Saccharomyces cerevisiae S288C: one gene and its partner. The protein of the gene in region 1 binds, or shares a complex with, the protein of each later gene. Each region holds a gene or a part of one and is shown in the gene's direction. Other genes may lie near its edges.

Region 1 (9,163 bases):
CATTCTGATTTAATTGCTGCACATTCTTTTTTTCTTCAGGCATAACATGCTCGGCTATTACTTTATCATTATTCACCTTTCCATCTTCAATGTTGTCTTCCGAAAAACATTCCACCTCCTCGTCAGTAGTAGATTCACTCTTTTTAGATTCTTGCGCATCTCGAAGACTCAGAACAGATTGGGTACTTTTACTTCTTCGTGGTTTCAGGCCGAAACCAGCAGTTCCAGTATTAGAATGACTGCTGTTCTTTGGACTGAGCAGCGTATTATGCACCGGACTATGAAAGGATGCTGATCTTTTTCCTTGATTGGACTTTACTCTTGTTAAAGCTGTCATATTCAACCCACTAATCGTTCGCTTTCTGAAAAGTGCATCAGAACTCTTGCATTTCTGAGAAACGTTGTGCTTATTAAAATAATCATTATCCAGGGTGCCATCATGTGTTAAAACTCTACGCAAACCTTTGAAGCTTGCGTTACTCTTTGCTCTCGACCTAGTCGAAAACTGTCTAAATGGCTTTGACTGGTGTGATACTGTTGACGCATTAAGAGATGTTACATCAGTGTCTGACTTCAAAGTCCTTCCTCGATGAACCATAATTATAGTTACTCAGTAAGGATATATGATATATCCCAATATCTATGTTTACCTGACCCGTAAATCGATAGAATGTGCTAGTCCATTAGATGTTTGGATTCCTTAATCATCGTGCCAGCCAAATCGCTATACCATCCGCAACTAGCTATCCTTGCGGTTACCCGTACAAGAGTAAGCTCGGTTGATAAAAACAACGTTGAATTAGTCGTTTTTATATCCATATAGATGTATATATATGTATAGATGTGTTTGTTCGCCTCATTACAGTTATACTTTGGTTGAGAATAATATTGCAGTGTTTTGCGTTTATTGAATGGCATTAGTGTTATTTGAATATTTTTTCTCCCATAGTAGTAACTCTCTAGTCAGGTCGTCCATCATTGATAGACTTTCATTATAACCGTTGTAAATCGTATCAACTTTTTCTACGAAATGCTGGTTTTCCACGAATCGTACAAATTCCTCTCGATCAGACTGATCTTCACTCAATTCCCATTGAGTTCTAGAAATGAACTCCAAAATAGCGGATACCCTTCTTCTCATTTCGTTTAATGAGGTCCTTTGAGGGGGTAATCTGGGCTTTACTGGTTTGTCGGTACCTATATCAGCACTCCTTCTATTTTGGTTGGTGTCTGAACTTGTATTGCTTCGACGAGTTCTGTTGCCCTTTCTTGCTGGTTTGGAAACTCTTTTAGAACCCCTCGAACTAGCTTTCCTTGAATCATCCTCAGAAGAAGATATTGAGGTTAGGGGTAGGATGGGTTCATCAGTTTTCTCAGTGTCTTGCGCCGAACCCGTAGAAGATTCCTTTTCTTGACTAGCTTCTTTTTCCACATCATTTGTTTTTTCCATTGATTGCTCTTTCGATGGTCGTAGGCTTTCTTTCATATCATCATTTGTTACCGAGTCCGGTTTGCCTTCCGTTAGCATAACATCCGTTTGTAATCGAGTGGTGCCGTTGTGATTGTCGGTATCACCTTGGTATATATCAGCATCATTTTCATAACTTTCAGGATCTTCTTGATGTGATGTCCTCCTGCTTTCTTTCAAGGCTTTTTCAAGCATTCTTTGATATTGCTTTTCTTCTCTTGCCATGAAAGTTGCCCTTTTTCTATCCAGTAGCTTCTTATCACTATCTCCAGGATCCAGTGAATACTGATCGGTAGAAGCATCATCCATTGAATTCCTCCTCCTCCTTCTACTTGACCTCGTGTTGCCGTCCTTGGCTAATGCTACAGCCGAAGCTTCATCTTCTACTTCATCTTCTTCGTCGCCGATATCGTCGACGTTATCATCGGTATTGCTGGTATTTCTGGGACTTTTCTCTGCTTCATTGGCGGCATGAGATTTACTTGCAGCTGCACTTCGTGCCTTCCTTCTTGATTGCCTCCTTTTCTCTTGCACAGGTTTATAGATTGACCTTGCTTCGCCAGTATCTGTGGTAAAGAGCTGATGTAACTCCGGTCTGCATTGCTCGCACCAATATTTATCAGGTGCGTTGTCTTGAGTAATACTCACACAATAACCGTGCTGCCAGGAACTGCACTGCTCACATTGAATGAAAAATCCGGAGTCATCTGGAGTATCGAGCTCTCCACAGATACAGCGAGTTTCGCCTTCCTCTTCCTCGACTTCCCCCTCTCCACCTTCCATAGGAACATCTTCTTGTTTTACACTTTCTTCCTGTACACTTCCAATCGCCGCCGTTGTTGTCGCTGTTGATGTTGTTGATATAATGTCTGTGGACCCACTAGCAATGACTTCCGCTTTCTCCATATCTTCACTACCCACAACAGGGCCTTTAGGCACTATTGCTGTCGATTCCATTACTCTTCTCTATACTCCTATATGTTTATGCTATCTTTTAGTAAGGTTACGCAAAGTAAACTTCGAAGGAAACAAACTATTGATGGTCTCTGTTGTGAACTTTGTACCCCTGTAAATACCCAGTTACATAAAATTCATATACGAAAACCAACAAGAACAAAAAAGAAAAAACTAATCAACAAAACGTTATTTTTTGATCATGCAGTGAAAAGCCACCAATAGAAAATTGAAAATAGAAAATGCAGCTGATTGTGCTGTGCGGTTTACCTAGTTTACCCATAGCGGAGAAATTTTTCAAAACTAATTGATTACGTTAAAGCCTGTCTGCGACGTGCTCCGTCCTATTTCCGCAAGATGATGAGGGTAATGCCCTTTATAACTGCTCAAAATAAAAAATAACCGCCGAGGTCTTTTTAATTATCAAGGTTATAAGAAGTGCCAGAAGTGGGTGAACTTAACTCAATAAAAAAATATTAGTGACGAACATCTATCAAAAATTGAAAATTGAAGGTACTGCTCAGAGAAACTGAGTCTGGTCTTGCCTACATCTTTAAGAGGAATTTGTTCTGGTGTATTATTTATACAGCCGATAACATTGATGATACTCTCAGGGTCATTTTCACGTAGTCGTGCTTTGGTGAGTTGTATACTACCCTACGTACTTTTCACCGCTTATGTTTTACACTGGGGTCTGAATGATAGATTTAAGCCTAGCATACACATCGGCGTCTCACAAAAAACGACGCTGCTGAAAAAAAAAATGTAAGAAAAAAAAAGTGGAAAAATATGAGCATGAAAAAACTTCTGCTAGCGGACCTCATCGTTATTTAGCTTCTCATTCCCGCCAATTGAAGTTGCTCATTGAAGAAGAATAAGTGATTAAAATGAAGGACTTGTCTCATTATGGTCCTGCGCTATGTGTTAAATTTTACAATGATTATGTTCTAGCTGGTTATGGGCCTTTCATCCATGTCTATGACTATCATTCGGCTACGTTGATTAACAAATGTAGGCTATTTCACTACAATAAAGTTCATGGACTTAGCCTTTCTAGTGAAGGGAAAATTTTGGCCTATGGTGCAAGATCAGTAACAATAGTGGAACTTGAAGACGTTTTAAAGAAAGAGTCATTGGTGGATTTCGAAAGGATTAACTCAGATTGGATTACCGGTGCTACATTCAGCTTTGACAACTTGCAAATATATTTGTTAACATGTTATAATAAAGTGCTAATTTGTGATTTAAATTGTGAAGTTCTTTTTAGGAAGTCTCTTGGGGGAGAAAGATCTATTCTATATTCCGGTATAATTAAAGTTTTCGGTCCGGATAAAGTATATGTTAACGCTGGTACTGTAATGGGCGGTGTTATCATTTGGGACCTGTTCTCGGAGACAAAAATTCATAACTTACTGGGTCATGAAGGTTCTATCTTTTATGTTAATTTAAGCAACAACGGAAGATATGTTGCCAGTTGCTCTGACGACAGATCAATTAGACTGTGGGATTTAGAAACTGGCAAGCAGCTGTCTGTTGGCTGGAGCCATACGGCAAGAATATGGAATTTAATGTTTTTTGATAATGATTCAAAACTAATAAGTGTTTCTGAAGATTGCACATGCCGTGTATGGAACATTATCGAATCACGAGAAAACGTTGCCGAATTATCCATATCTAACGTTTACGAAGTACATTTAATCAAGAGTATATGGGGCGTTGATGTGAAAGACGACGAAATGATAGCTGTAACCTCCGGGAATGATGGTAGGTTAAAGCTGATTGATCTTCTTCAACTGAAGAGACACGGCGATGAAGAAACATCGTTCAGTCTAGATGATATCGCAAAGCAATGTGGCGATATTTTCGAAAAGAATGAAAGTATCAAGGGATTTCAATGGTTTTCATTCGGTGTAATTGCTATCACTTCATTGGGTAAAATACTTAAATACAGTGATGTCACGAAACAATGGAAGTTGTTACTAACAAATGAAAAATTCAACTCGTATCCAATTACAAATGGGATTCAAACGCAAAATATCGCTGTCTTTTCCAATAATAAAAGTGACATCCTTCTTATCAAATTTAGCAAAGATAGCGCTGACATAATTGAGACCGAAGAATTCCATTTAGATGAGCTTTCTAAGACAAATAACTGTCTCGTTACAGAATACGATGATGACTCCTTCCTATTGACTTTACAATCCCCAAATCCTCGAGAGAAGTTTGTATGTTTGGAAATAAGCCTTCAGAACTTAAAAATTAAAAGCAAGCACTGTTTCAATAAGCCGGAAAATTTTTCTTCCTCATGTTTGACCTCCTTCCGAAATCATATTTTAGTCGGCTCACGTTTTAGTACATTAGTAATCTACAACTTACTTGATGAGAGCGAGGAGCCCTTCATAATTAGGAGATTAAGTCCCGGAGACACTACAACCTCAATCGAATTTGTAGAAGATAAAGACAACTCTGCGGTCTTCTCAGTAACAAATAGGGATGGCTATTATGTATTTATTGAGTTGACGAAAAACAGTTTGGAAGAGGGTCCCTACCGACTAAGTTATAAGGTCTTGCATTCTAATAAGATGATGAAAGGTTTCTTGGAGGGCGCTTTCTTTAATTCAAAAGGTGAATACATTACTTATGGGTTCAAGTCCAGCTTGTTTTATCTCTACAATGAAACCAACTGTTATGAACTAGCTAGTGAAGTTTGTGGTGGTTCCCATCGTCTGTGGAATCTCGCAAAAATTACTGATGGCCACGTATTAATGTATATTAAGGCATCCCGATTTCATTTAAGGAAAATTTACAACTCCATTGTGCCTGAAACTTTAGAAAATGGTGTACACGGAAGGGAAATCAGAGATATTTCAATCTGTCCTGTTTCAAATACCAACACGAATGACAATTTTAAGGATGGGCATATATTCTGTACTGCATCTGAAGATACTACAATTAAGCTGGGATATTTTAACAATAGAACAGGGAAGGTGCAGAATTTTTGGACACAAAGAAAGCATGTGTCTGGATTACAACGTTGTCAGTTTATAAATCACAAACTAATGATATCATCTTCAGCTAGAGAGGAGTTATTCTTATGGGAATTGAACGATAAGTATAATAAACGACCATATATGACCATACGACAAGCTTTACCTGTATCCACAAATAATTCTGATCTAAGGATCATGGATTTTGATGTCAAATTTATATCACAGTCAGGTGACTTCTTATTAGTTACTGTTTATTCAGATTCAACAATAAAGATTTGGCACTATAGGGAAAATCAGAATAAGTTTGACCTGATCATGCAAGGTCGTTATAAGACGTGCTGTTTATTCAACGTCGTATTTATTGCACTGAAAGAAGAGCTCCTTGTTGTCATTTCACCAACTGATGGACATTTAGTGGTTTATAATATAACCGAGTACGTACCATTTTCCGTTGATCCGATTTCTGGCGATTTGGTTGACCACAAACTGGACGCTACTATCTCAAATCTTCCCGCACCTGTAGCGCAGTTGCCGGTACATCAATCTGGTGTCAAGTCCCTAGACTATGTTGCTAATGCTACAAGAACTTCCGCCACAATTTTGACAGGGGGTGATGATAATGGTTTAGGGTTAAGCAACCTGAAATTAGATGACTCGAATAAAGTAACGTTAAAAACAAGTGACTTTATCGCTGCAGCAGCTTCTTCGACAATAACGTCCGGTATGTTGATTAATGGTGGCAAAGAAGTCATTACCACATCGGTTGATCAAGTAATACGCGCTTGGGAAATTACCGCAGGCAAGCTTTCACTGGTAGATAAAAAGCGTACCACTGTGGCGGATACAGGATCATTAGAAATCATTTCCAATGATGAAGATGCTGATTCTGAGAAAACGTTACTGATCGGAGGTGTTGGTTTATCAATTTGGAAAAAATGATACAAAAAATTAACATATACATAAAAGAATATTATAGATATGTATTATTTACAGATTTTAGAAAATGAGAATATTTTGTAAACACCCGAACGGAGAACAGCGAAGAGATTTACATCTTTCAGCCTTGACGCTGTTTGTGTTTTTTATTCGACTTGCAATAAATGTATACTCTTCCCTTTCTTCTTACCAAGTAGCAATCACTGCAGAACTTTTTGACAGATGTTCTGACCTTGAAACCTCTGTTAAAAACCAAAGGTCTGTTAGCTGCAACAAGAGCTGGTTGCGGAGCTGCAACAGATAGGAGGCTGGGCACTGTGCAGGCCCTTGTTATCGTTATGGGGGACGGTTTCATGTGCAAAAACATCCTTGGCATAGTTAGGCGGAGAGTCTGTAAAAACATTCTTTGAAATCCTTTCGCTTGCTGAAAAATTCTGAGATTTGTACTATGAACCGTAGCCGTTATATGCGAGTAGATCGAGGCTATATCCCAATGCCAATAGTTCCACGATTCATTCCCTTTCTATTTGGAATAAGTGCGAAGACAGAATTTTTAATTTCGGCTTGGGTGAGAGAAAAAAAAAATCATAGTTTCGTTACGCAGATAGTAAATAACTAATACATAGATAAAAGCACCACCTTCTACCGGACCGTCGTCATTCTCGGCAACACCGTTGAAGTGTTTATGACTACGCTTTTTTTATCCTCACTTTTGGAATGCCCTTGAACTATGGACCTTTCACTCCCTATTGACAAATTCAAAAGACAAAAAAGGGAAACACTTGGAAAAGGTAACTTGACGTCCAATAATACACGCCGAATGAGGGCAGACTATGTCTTTCTTCCAACTGCCGTGGCAGTTGCGTACTTATCATTCTTATGTTCTTACAGTGGGATTCCACCATCATGGTAACCCGGTGCTTTTTTTCCTTGTGGTACGATTTTGGCTATGAGAAGAGAAAGAAAAGACAGAAAAAAACACGATCTTGAAATTAACTTTACCAGAAAGTGGATCTTGTGGTTGTCCGAAAGTCTACAAAGAGATTCAGTCACAACCGCAATCATACTCCATCCCTTCGTCACAGCAATAAATTAATCAGTTTCTTTGCCTTTGGTGGAAAGTAAAAAAAACTAAACTTGGTTCAGCACAGCGCTATATCTACGAGAACACCGTTGCCCACTCTTATACATTATTTTCACAGAGTCACATTCCCCACTGAATTCTCTCCTTAAGCTTCCTTTCTCTGTTTATTTTACCAATTTACAATTTCTAGAACTGATAGTCTCTGTACCTTTCCTTTAGATACACATACGCTTCATTTCTTTTGAACATTGTATTCTTCTATTTTCTTCGTTCTTCCGTTATTTGATATTTGCCCCTTTTTAAGTCTTCTGACTCACCTGTTCTGCTTTACCAATTAGGCTCCTTAATTGGTTCAACTGTCCATTCCAGCCTCATATTTTTCACTTTATCTTTCTTCATCATTTTTTTTGTCTAATTAATATCCGTTTCCAACTTCAATTCTCAAGGACACTCTTTTTTTTTTTGAAAAAAAATATCATATTTTTCTTTGCTAATACTATTTTATTTTTTCAATTCTGGTCGTTGAAGCCTTTTCTATTCAGATATTTCCTAAAGAAAAACAAAGAACTATCGTTGTATTTTTTTTTTTCTTCACCATCACATACTACTTCAATTGCATTAAAACATGGTGGTTTCTTATAACAATAATAATAACAATAACAATAACAATAACAATAATAATATCAGTAATAATAATAACAATAATAACATGTTCCCTCCTTTTCCTTCTTCCGATGACTTTGCAATGTATCAACAGTCCAGTTCTTCCGGCCCTTACCAAGAAACTTATGCGAGTGGCCCTCAAAACTTTGGCGATGCTGTGTATCCTATGAATGGTAATTTTACTCTTTTACCATCCGACTTTACACGAGAGCCTAATGATTCGTTCTTTTACGAGAATGACGGAATTTTTGATTATCAGCGTATTCAACAGCAACCAACTCAATTCCAGACAAAGCAGCGAAATGATTCACAACAGCAACGGTTTTCACAGGAACAAAATTTCGAAATTGATAACGAAGTTGTCCACAATAACAATCGTTATTATGAATATGAAAGGTCATCAAATGAAGTCTCTCCTTTTGATGATGAGAATCCAAATGTGTTATCTGATGGCATGTCACCCACTATTATGGCAACTGCAACTGCAGTAACCAACGCAAATGCGCCTTTACCAGTTAATGCACAAGCCAATAATCCTTTGAATTTTACATCGGCCCCAAGTAGAACTGTTTATTTGGGTAATGTGCCACCAAACCTAAGCGTTAAAGAGTTATTGGATCATGTCAGAAGTGGTGTCGTTGAAGACGTCAAAATCATACCTGAAAAGATGTGTGCATTCGTTTCGTTTATAGATGAAAGTGCTGCACTATTGTTCCATTCAGACGCAATTTTAAAGCGCTTGAACATCGGTGACAGGGATATCAAAATCGGGTGGGGGAAACCAACTCGAATTGATCCTATTGTAGCGGCTAGAATCTCTACGGACGGTGCCACAAGAAATGTATACATTGGCCGTATGACGATTGAAGGCGAAGAATCACATTTATCTGAGGAGCAATTGAGGGTTGATTTAGAAGAATATGGTGAAATTGACTGTATAAAAATTATCAAGGAAAAGGGAATCGCCTTTATTCATTTTGCGTCTATTTTAAATGCTATAAAAGTGGTTACGAATCTGCCAATTAGAAATCCATACTATCAAAATAAGAGAATATTTTATGGAAAGGA
Region 2 (5,631 bases), on another chromosome or scaffold:
TTATGAGGAATCCACAGTTTTACATTCAAAGGAGTCAGTTCTCAGCATTGGTAGGCAAAATATGGTAACTTTGAACCAAAGCGATGAAAATTTCACCTATGGCAATTTTGATGAGTACGACTTATTAACTAAAGATTATACAACAGAGGTCTTAACGCGATCACCTGGCTCGAATCCCGAGTTTAAAGCAGTGGTAAATAATACATTACTTGATAGCGCGAATGAAACGCCGTTTAAAGGTATTGAAAAAAGTATTAACGAAACAATGGTTAAAGTTCCTATGGGATGCGATGTATCTCTCTCCCATTATGGCAGACAATACGCGCCTGGAAATATTTCAATTATGAGAAGCTTCACTGCTCGAGATAATACTAAATCTGTGAGTAGAGAAATTCGTGATATCTGTAAATCGTTTTTGATTATAAAAAGCCAATTTGGTGACGAACTTTTCCTGACTATGTTCATGGAAAAACCAGTTTTCTTTGATAACAACATCCCAATTGAAATAACTGGAGCATACCGAGAAAAACGAGAGCGATTAGATGAAGTGATTCATAAGGATCTTATCCGCTATGATGAAGTTCAAAATTTGACAAGGATTCGCAATTTGCTCCGGGTTAAAAGTCAAAAGATTTGTTCCAGGAGACATAATAGTTCGGTTCCCACAAAAAAATTGTTAGTTAATGATAAAGGCGCAACTTCGATTCTACTGTGGTACTCTAACTATTCATAGATAAAGTTTATTTGATACATAATCCGGAAAATGTAAGATATGCCAACTGTTAACTAGAAAACATCTGTACTCTATATATCGGAAACAAAAACTTTACGGGTACAACCATGATGAATAAGCTCGAAATTTTTGCCTTCCATATGAGTCCCATTTTGGTGACCAACTCTCCTACCCGAATTACTGTGATGATATATACTCTTCGTTTTCTAGTAATGGCTTCATTTTGCCTAAGTTGGTCAAAATTGTTGTGGGCGGCTTTTGTTTGCACCGAGGAGCGCTCAGTTCGTTATAATACCAGTTTTGCCACTCCTAAACTACTAAAGAAATAATAGAAAGATATATTCATCAAACATAATCACAATCAAAAAAATGTCTACATATGAAGGTATGTAATGATATATTATGAAGTAAGTTCCCCAAAGCCAATTAACTAACCGAATTTTAATCTGCACTCATCATTAGATTAGAGGAACATGGAATACAACAAAACTCAAGGGATTACCAAGAAGTAGGAGGAACTTCACAGGAGGAGCAGAGAAGACAGGTCAGATCCCAACTGCAAGGTCTATTTCAAAACTTTGGTAACACCAGTGGTGAGGGTGATGCACATTCAGATTCAACACTACTTTTACGATTATTATCGCAAATGCTTCCAGAATCATTACAGGAAGAATGGTTGCAAGAAATGGATAAAGGCAAGAGTGCGGGCTGTCCTGATACTTTTGCAGCCTCTTTACCACGAATCAATAAAAAAAAGCTCAAAGCAACTGACAACTGCTCCATTTGTTACACTAATTATTTAGAAGATGAGTACCCCTTAGTAGTTGAATTACCTCATTGCCATCATAAGTTCGACTTAGAGTGTTTGTCTGTCTGGCTATCTCGAAGTACAACATGTCCATTATGCAGAGATAATGTTATGGGCCACCGAATCATTAATGAGATTGATACAACTGAAGCAGAACTGGAAGAAGATTGGGGTATGTACGGTTAATATCTTTCTTTTATATTATATAAAGACACCAAACCTAAGTAGAATAGGTAACTACGTCTTCTTTCACAGAAGACAGACCTACAAGTATTTTGATTATCATGATGAAGTAAAAGCAACGATAAACTTTTTACTAGGTATTATTATTCTGCGCTAACAATAATTATCGCGAGTTGAAAATTTTCAAGCGATGCTCCTAACATTACTGTAAAACAACAGTAGATGAGTACAAGGCAAGCTTAAAAAGAAAGTATTCAAGATGGGTAAGAGCAGCAAAGATAAAAGAGATTTGTACTATAGAAAAGCAAAAGAGCAGGGCTATAGGGCTAGATCTGCTTTCAAACTACTTCAACTCAATGACCAATTTCATTTCCTGGATGATCCAAACTTAAAAAGAGTTGTAGATTTGTGTGCAGCACCAGGTTCATGGTCACAAGTGCTCTCGAGAAAACTGTTTGATGAAAGTCCCAGTTCAGATAAGGAGGACAGGAAAATTGTCTCTGTCGATTTACAACCGATGTCCCCCATACCTCATGTGACAACGTTGCAAGCCGATATCACTCATCCTAAAACATTGGCGAGGATTCTAAAACTGTTTGGCAACGAAAAGGCCGATTTTGTTTGTAGTGATGGTGCACCTGATGTTACTGGGTTACACGATCTTGACGAATACGTGCAACAACAGTTAATTATGAGTGCGCTGCAACTTACTGCATGCATTCTGAAAAAAGGTGGAACTTTTGTGGCAAAGATCTTCAGAGGTCGTGATATAGATATGCTATATTCCCAATTGGGCTATCTATTCGATAAAATCGTTTGCGCAAAGCCAAGATCATCAAGAGGTACATCTCTGGAAGCTTTTATTGTTTGTTTAGGCTATAACCCACCATCCAATTGGACACCAAAATTAGATGTAAATACATCCGTTGATGAATTTTTTCAAGGCTGTTTTTTGAATAAATTGTGTATATCAGACAAATTGTCTCATTGGAATGAAGAGGAGAGAAACATAGCCGAATTTATGGCTTGTGGAAGTCTTCAAAGTTTCGACTCAGATGCCACTTATCATGACCTACCTTCTTCGGTTGCAGGCACTTCATCGTCCTTAGATCCTGTTCAAAGCCCGACGAACCCTCCCTACAAGAAAGCTTTGGAATTAAAAAGGAGCGGGAAACTCACTAGATCAGTTTGATTGCAATATTACTACCTCTAATCAAACAATTAAATAAGTCACTACATTATAAGATTATCTACAAAATCAACTTTTCCTTGCAATCATTAAAAACGATATAGGTTACGGTTATGTAGAATATCCATTGTATAATATAAAAGAAAATGAAACAGTAATTATATTATATTATATTACATGCAAGCATTGAGGAGTATGGCAATCATTTTTCTTCTTTTTTACTTCACCTCGTCTCTTAAAACATCTGCTTTCGAATTTGCGAGTAATAGAACTTTCGAATTGTGACAGAACCATTGAGAACATGGTGAATCTGTCAATATTACAACCCAAAAGCCGGTTGGTGGTAAACCGTAGTACGGAGCATTACAAAGGATTCCATCGTATAAATTATGCATAAGCATCACCTTGATCCATTTGCCTTGCTCCTATTGCCCTGCTTGTTTGTAGGAAAGCCCCTTTTGGTCAAACGAATTGTTCAGTTCGGGTTTACGCATTACATATCTCCTTTTTAGATACAAAAACCTCGAAACGCTCACATAAACCCGGTTGTTCTTTTGAGTACCTGGCCAATGGAGACATAGCTTGGGGTTAAGTAAAAGTGAAAGTCAGGTTGATACATGTGCCTTTTATTCCACCGAAGAAAGCTTATCCAACATAAGAGCATTATTTAATGGGCTTTCCAATTTATTATTGGCATACACTTCTTTCAAAAATTCGCCGGTCTCAACGGCAGCAAGTGCTCAGCAGATGGAAATTATACGTTAATACTTTTTCCAATGTGATATAACGAAAAATTAGATACTGTGAATTGTGTTTGCCACCTTGATGTTGACTTAGTATTTCCTCTCGGTTGTAAAAGCCAAGAAGGTTTGACTGTTCGTCAATTAAGGTTCTTACGTGGGTTGTGCTAGATACGACGCGAATCAGTATGGTTTCTATCTGCCAATCATATCGGTTCTCTTCCATGGGCTAGAACAGATGAATTCTAGCTCTTTTTTAGCTGGACCAGTAAGGTTCAAATGGTATTTGATAATAGAGAATCACATATCTCCTTGTCCATTTCTGAAAGTATTAATTCAGTCATATCCAACTAGTCACAAACATCCGCATAGGCTTGATAAAACTCACAAGTGGCAGATTCCGAATTATGTGTCATATTGGGGTCATATTAGGACCTTCATTTCAGAATTGCTTCTGCTCCAATAAACTTTTTTTGATCCAAAAATCGTCTGATATAACGGGCGATGTCAATTGAATAATAAAACGGGTTCTATCTATTTTCTTGATCTTTGAAACCAAAACAGTTAGCAGGCAAGTGCAAACAAGTTGTCAATTGCACTCTGTTAACGAAAAAAATATATCTCATCTCCGCCGGTCTTCTTTGGTGGATATATATTACTCCTCCTTAAAGGTCATGCTCCTTTTTATGGGTTCTCGTCGTAATAATCCTGAAATTGTAAAATAATTTAGAGCTCAACACCACCATTGAGAACGTAGAATTTCAATTTTTAAGCTGATTCTCTTTCTGCATGAACTCTCCTAGCAATGTGAAACTTCTCTTAAGGGAAATTTTCGCCTTTTTGAATGGGCATACTTGGCCAAAAATTCAGGATTGAATATATATAATCGGAACTTGTATGGATAAAAATTTATATCAAGAGTCTGTTTCTTAATTGGATTTGCTGTGATCTAGTATTGAGATGACTATAAACCGGCCAGGAAATTAGTCTTTTCGAAGCTGGTTTTGGTTTCGCAAGAGTCTTTTTGACAGCTTTTTGGCCTCAATTTGTATTCCCTTAATACGCTTCTTCAACTCTGTCTTAGAGACCATTTCTCCAGTGGCCTCATCTAGGTGTAAACTAGCAATAGCGTCACTAGCTGCCGTGACATTAACTTGCTGTGGCACCTTTATATGTAATATGAACCATCTTTCAATGGATCATAAGAATAAGTGTCGTAAAAGGCCAAATATCCATGCATAAATATCGACTTATTCGCGTAAATGTGATATGGATCAGCTAGTACCAATTTCTAGTCTAGCAAAATCGGGAAAATTTTTCAGAACACCCACTCACCGCATCATTGAGGTGGAAATGACAATAGTAAGCAGAATTGTTATTCTTCACAATGTGTAAAAGTTATAAAGAAATAGGAACCACCTTTAAATTAAGACAAAGTAGAATATATTAGCTGAAATTGTATTTGATAATTGATCATTGATCTTATTTGCTATATCTTTAAAACAAGTTTTTGTAGTACTGCGAATTGCCATAACATGCTAAATGGGGAAGACTTTGTAGAGCATAATGATATCCTATCGTCTCCGGCAAAAAGCAGGAATGTAACCCCAAAAAGGGTTGACCCACATGGAGAAAGACAACTGAGAAGAATTCATTCATCAAAGAAGAATTTGTTGGAAAGAATCTCGCTTGTAGGCAACGAAAGGAAAAATACATCTCCAGATCCGGCACTCAAACCTAAAACGCCAAGTAAAGCTCCCCGTAAACGTGGAAGACCAAGAAAGATACAGGAAGAATTAACTGATAGGATCAAGAAGGATGAGAAAGATACAATTTCCTCTAAGAAAAAGAGGAAATTGGACAAAGATACATCAGGTAATGTCAATGAGGAAAGCAAGACTTCTAACAACAAGCAGGTGATGGAAAAGACGGGGATAAAAGAGAAAAGAGAACGCGAAAAAATACAGGTAGCGACCAC

Evidence for each region.
Region 2: the proteins of RTT10 (region 1) and TRM7 are in contact, whole or in part, in a crystal structure (PDB 6JPL), measured with the Saccharomyces cerevisiae proteins. Residues at the interface, in NP_015142.1 of Saccharomyces cerevisiae: Leu11 (codon at 3,340), Tyr47 (codon at 3,448), Asn48 (codon at 3,451), Lys49 (codon at 3,454), His51 (codon at 3,460), Ala66 (codon at 3,505), Arg67 (codon at 3,508), Ser91 (codon at 3,580), Asp92 (codon at 3,583), Trp93 (codon at 3,586), Cys111 (codon at 3,640), Tyr112 (codon at 3,643), Lys114 (codon at 3,649), Ser129 (codon at 3,694), Leu130 (codon at 3,697), Gly132 (codon at 3,703), Glu133 (codon at 3,706), Arg134 (codon at 3,709), Ile136 (codon at 3,715), Tyr138 (codon at 3,721), Met158 (codon at 3,781), Phe183 (codon at 3,856), Arg223 (codon at 3,976), Trp225 (codon at 3,982), Ser273 (codon at 4,126), Trp275 (codon at 4,132), Asn291 (codon at 4,180), Arg658 (codon at 5,281), Glu685 (codon at 5,362), Thr835 (codon at 5,812); in NP_009617.3 of Saccharomyces cerevisiae: Leu84 (codon at 2,233), Pro127 (codon at 2,362), Asp128 (codon at 2,365), Val129 (codon at 2,368), Thr130 (codon at 2,371), Gly131 (codon at 2,374), Leu132 (codon at 2,377), His133 (codon at 2,380), Asp134 (codon at 2,383), Leu135 (codon at 2,386), Tyr138 (codon at 2,395), Val139 (codon at 2,398), Gln142 (codon at 2,407), Arg167 (codon at 2,482), Gly168 (codon at 2,485), Arg169 (codon at 2,488), Ile171 (codon at 2,494), Asp172 (codon at 2,497), Met173 (codon at 2,500), Tyr175 (codon at 2,506), Lys189 (codon at 2,548), Arg191 (codon at 2,554), Thr196 (codon at 2,569), Leu198 (codon at 2,575), Asn233 (codon at 2,680), Lys234 (codon at 2,683), Cys236 (codon at 2,689), Asp239 (codon at 2,698), Ser242 (codon at 2,707), Glu246 (codon at 2,719).

The regions. Positions count from the first base shown.
Region 1 is NC_001148.4:196,683-205,845, reverse strand, and holds RTT10 (tRNA (34-2'-O)-methyltransferase regulator RTT10), read left to right. Parts: upstream 1-3,309; coding exon 3,310-6,351; downstream 6,352-9,163. Other genes in the region: TCO89 (Tco89p), read right to left, coding at 1-598; CTI6 (Cti6p), read right to left, coding at 905-2,425; mitochondrial 54S ribosomal protein bL36m RTC6, read right to left, coding at 6,470-6,751; MRN1 (Mrn1p), read left to right, coding at 8,058-9,163.
Region 2 is NC_001134.8:362,072-367,702, reverse strand, and holds TRM7 (tRNA methyltransferase TRM7), read left to right. Parts: upstream 1-1,983; coding exon 1,984-2,916; downstream 2,917-5,631. Other genes in the region: CNM1 (Cnm1p), read left to right, coding at 1-733; YBR062C (uncharacterized protein), read left to right, coding at 1,103-1,118, 1,201-1,727; ORC2 (origin recognition complex subunit 2), read left to right, coding at 5,189-5,631.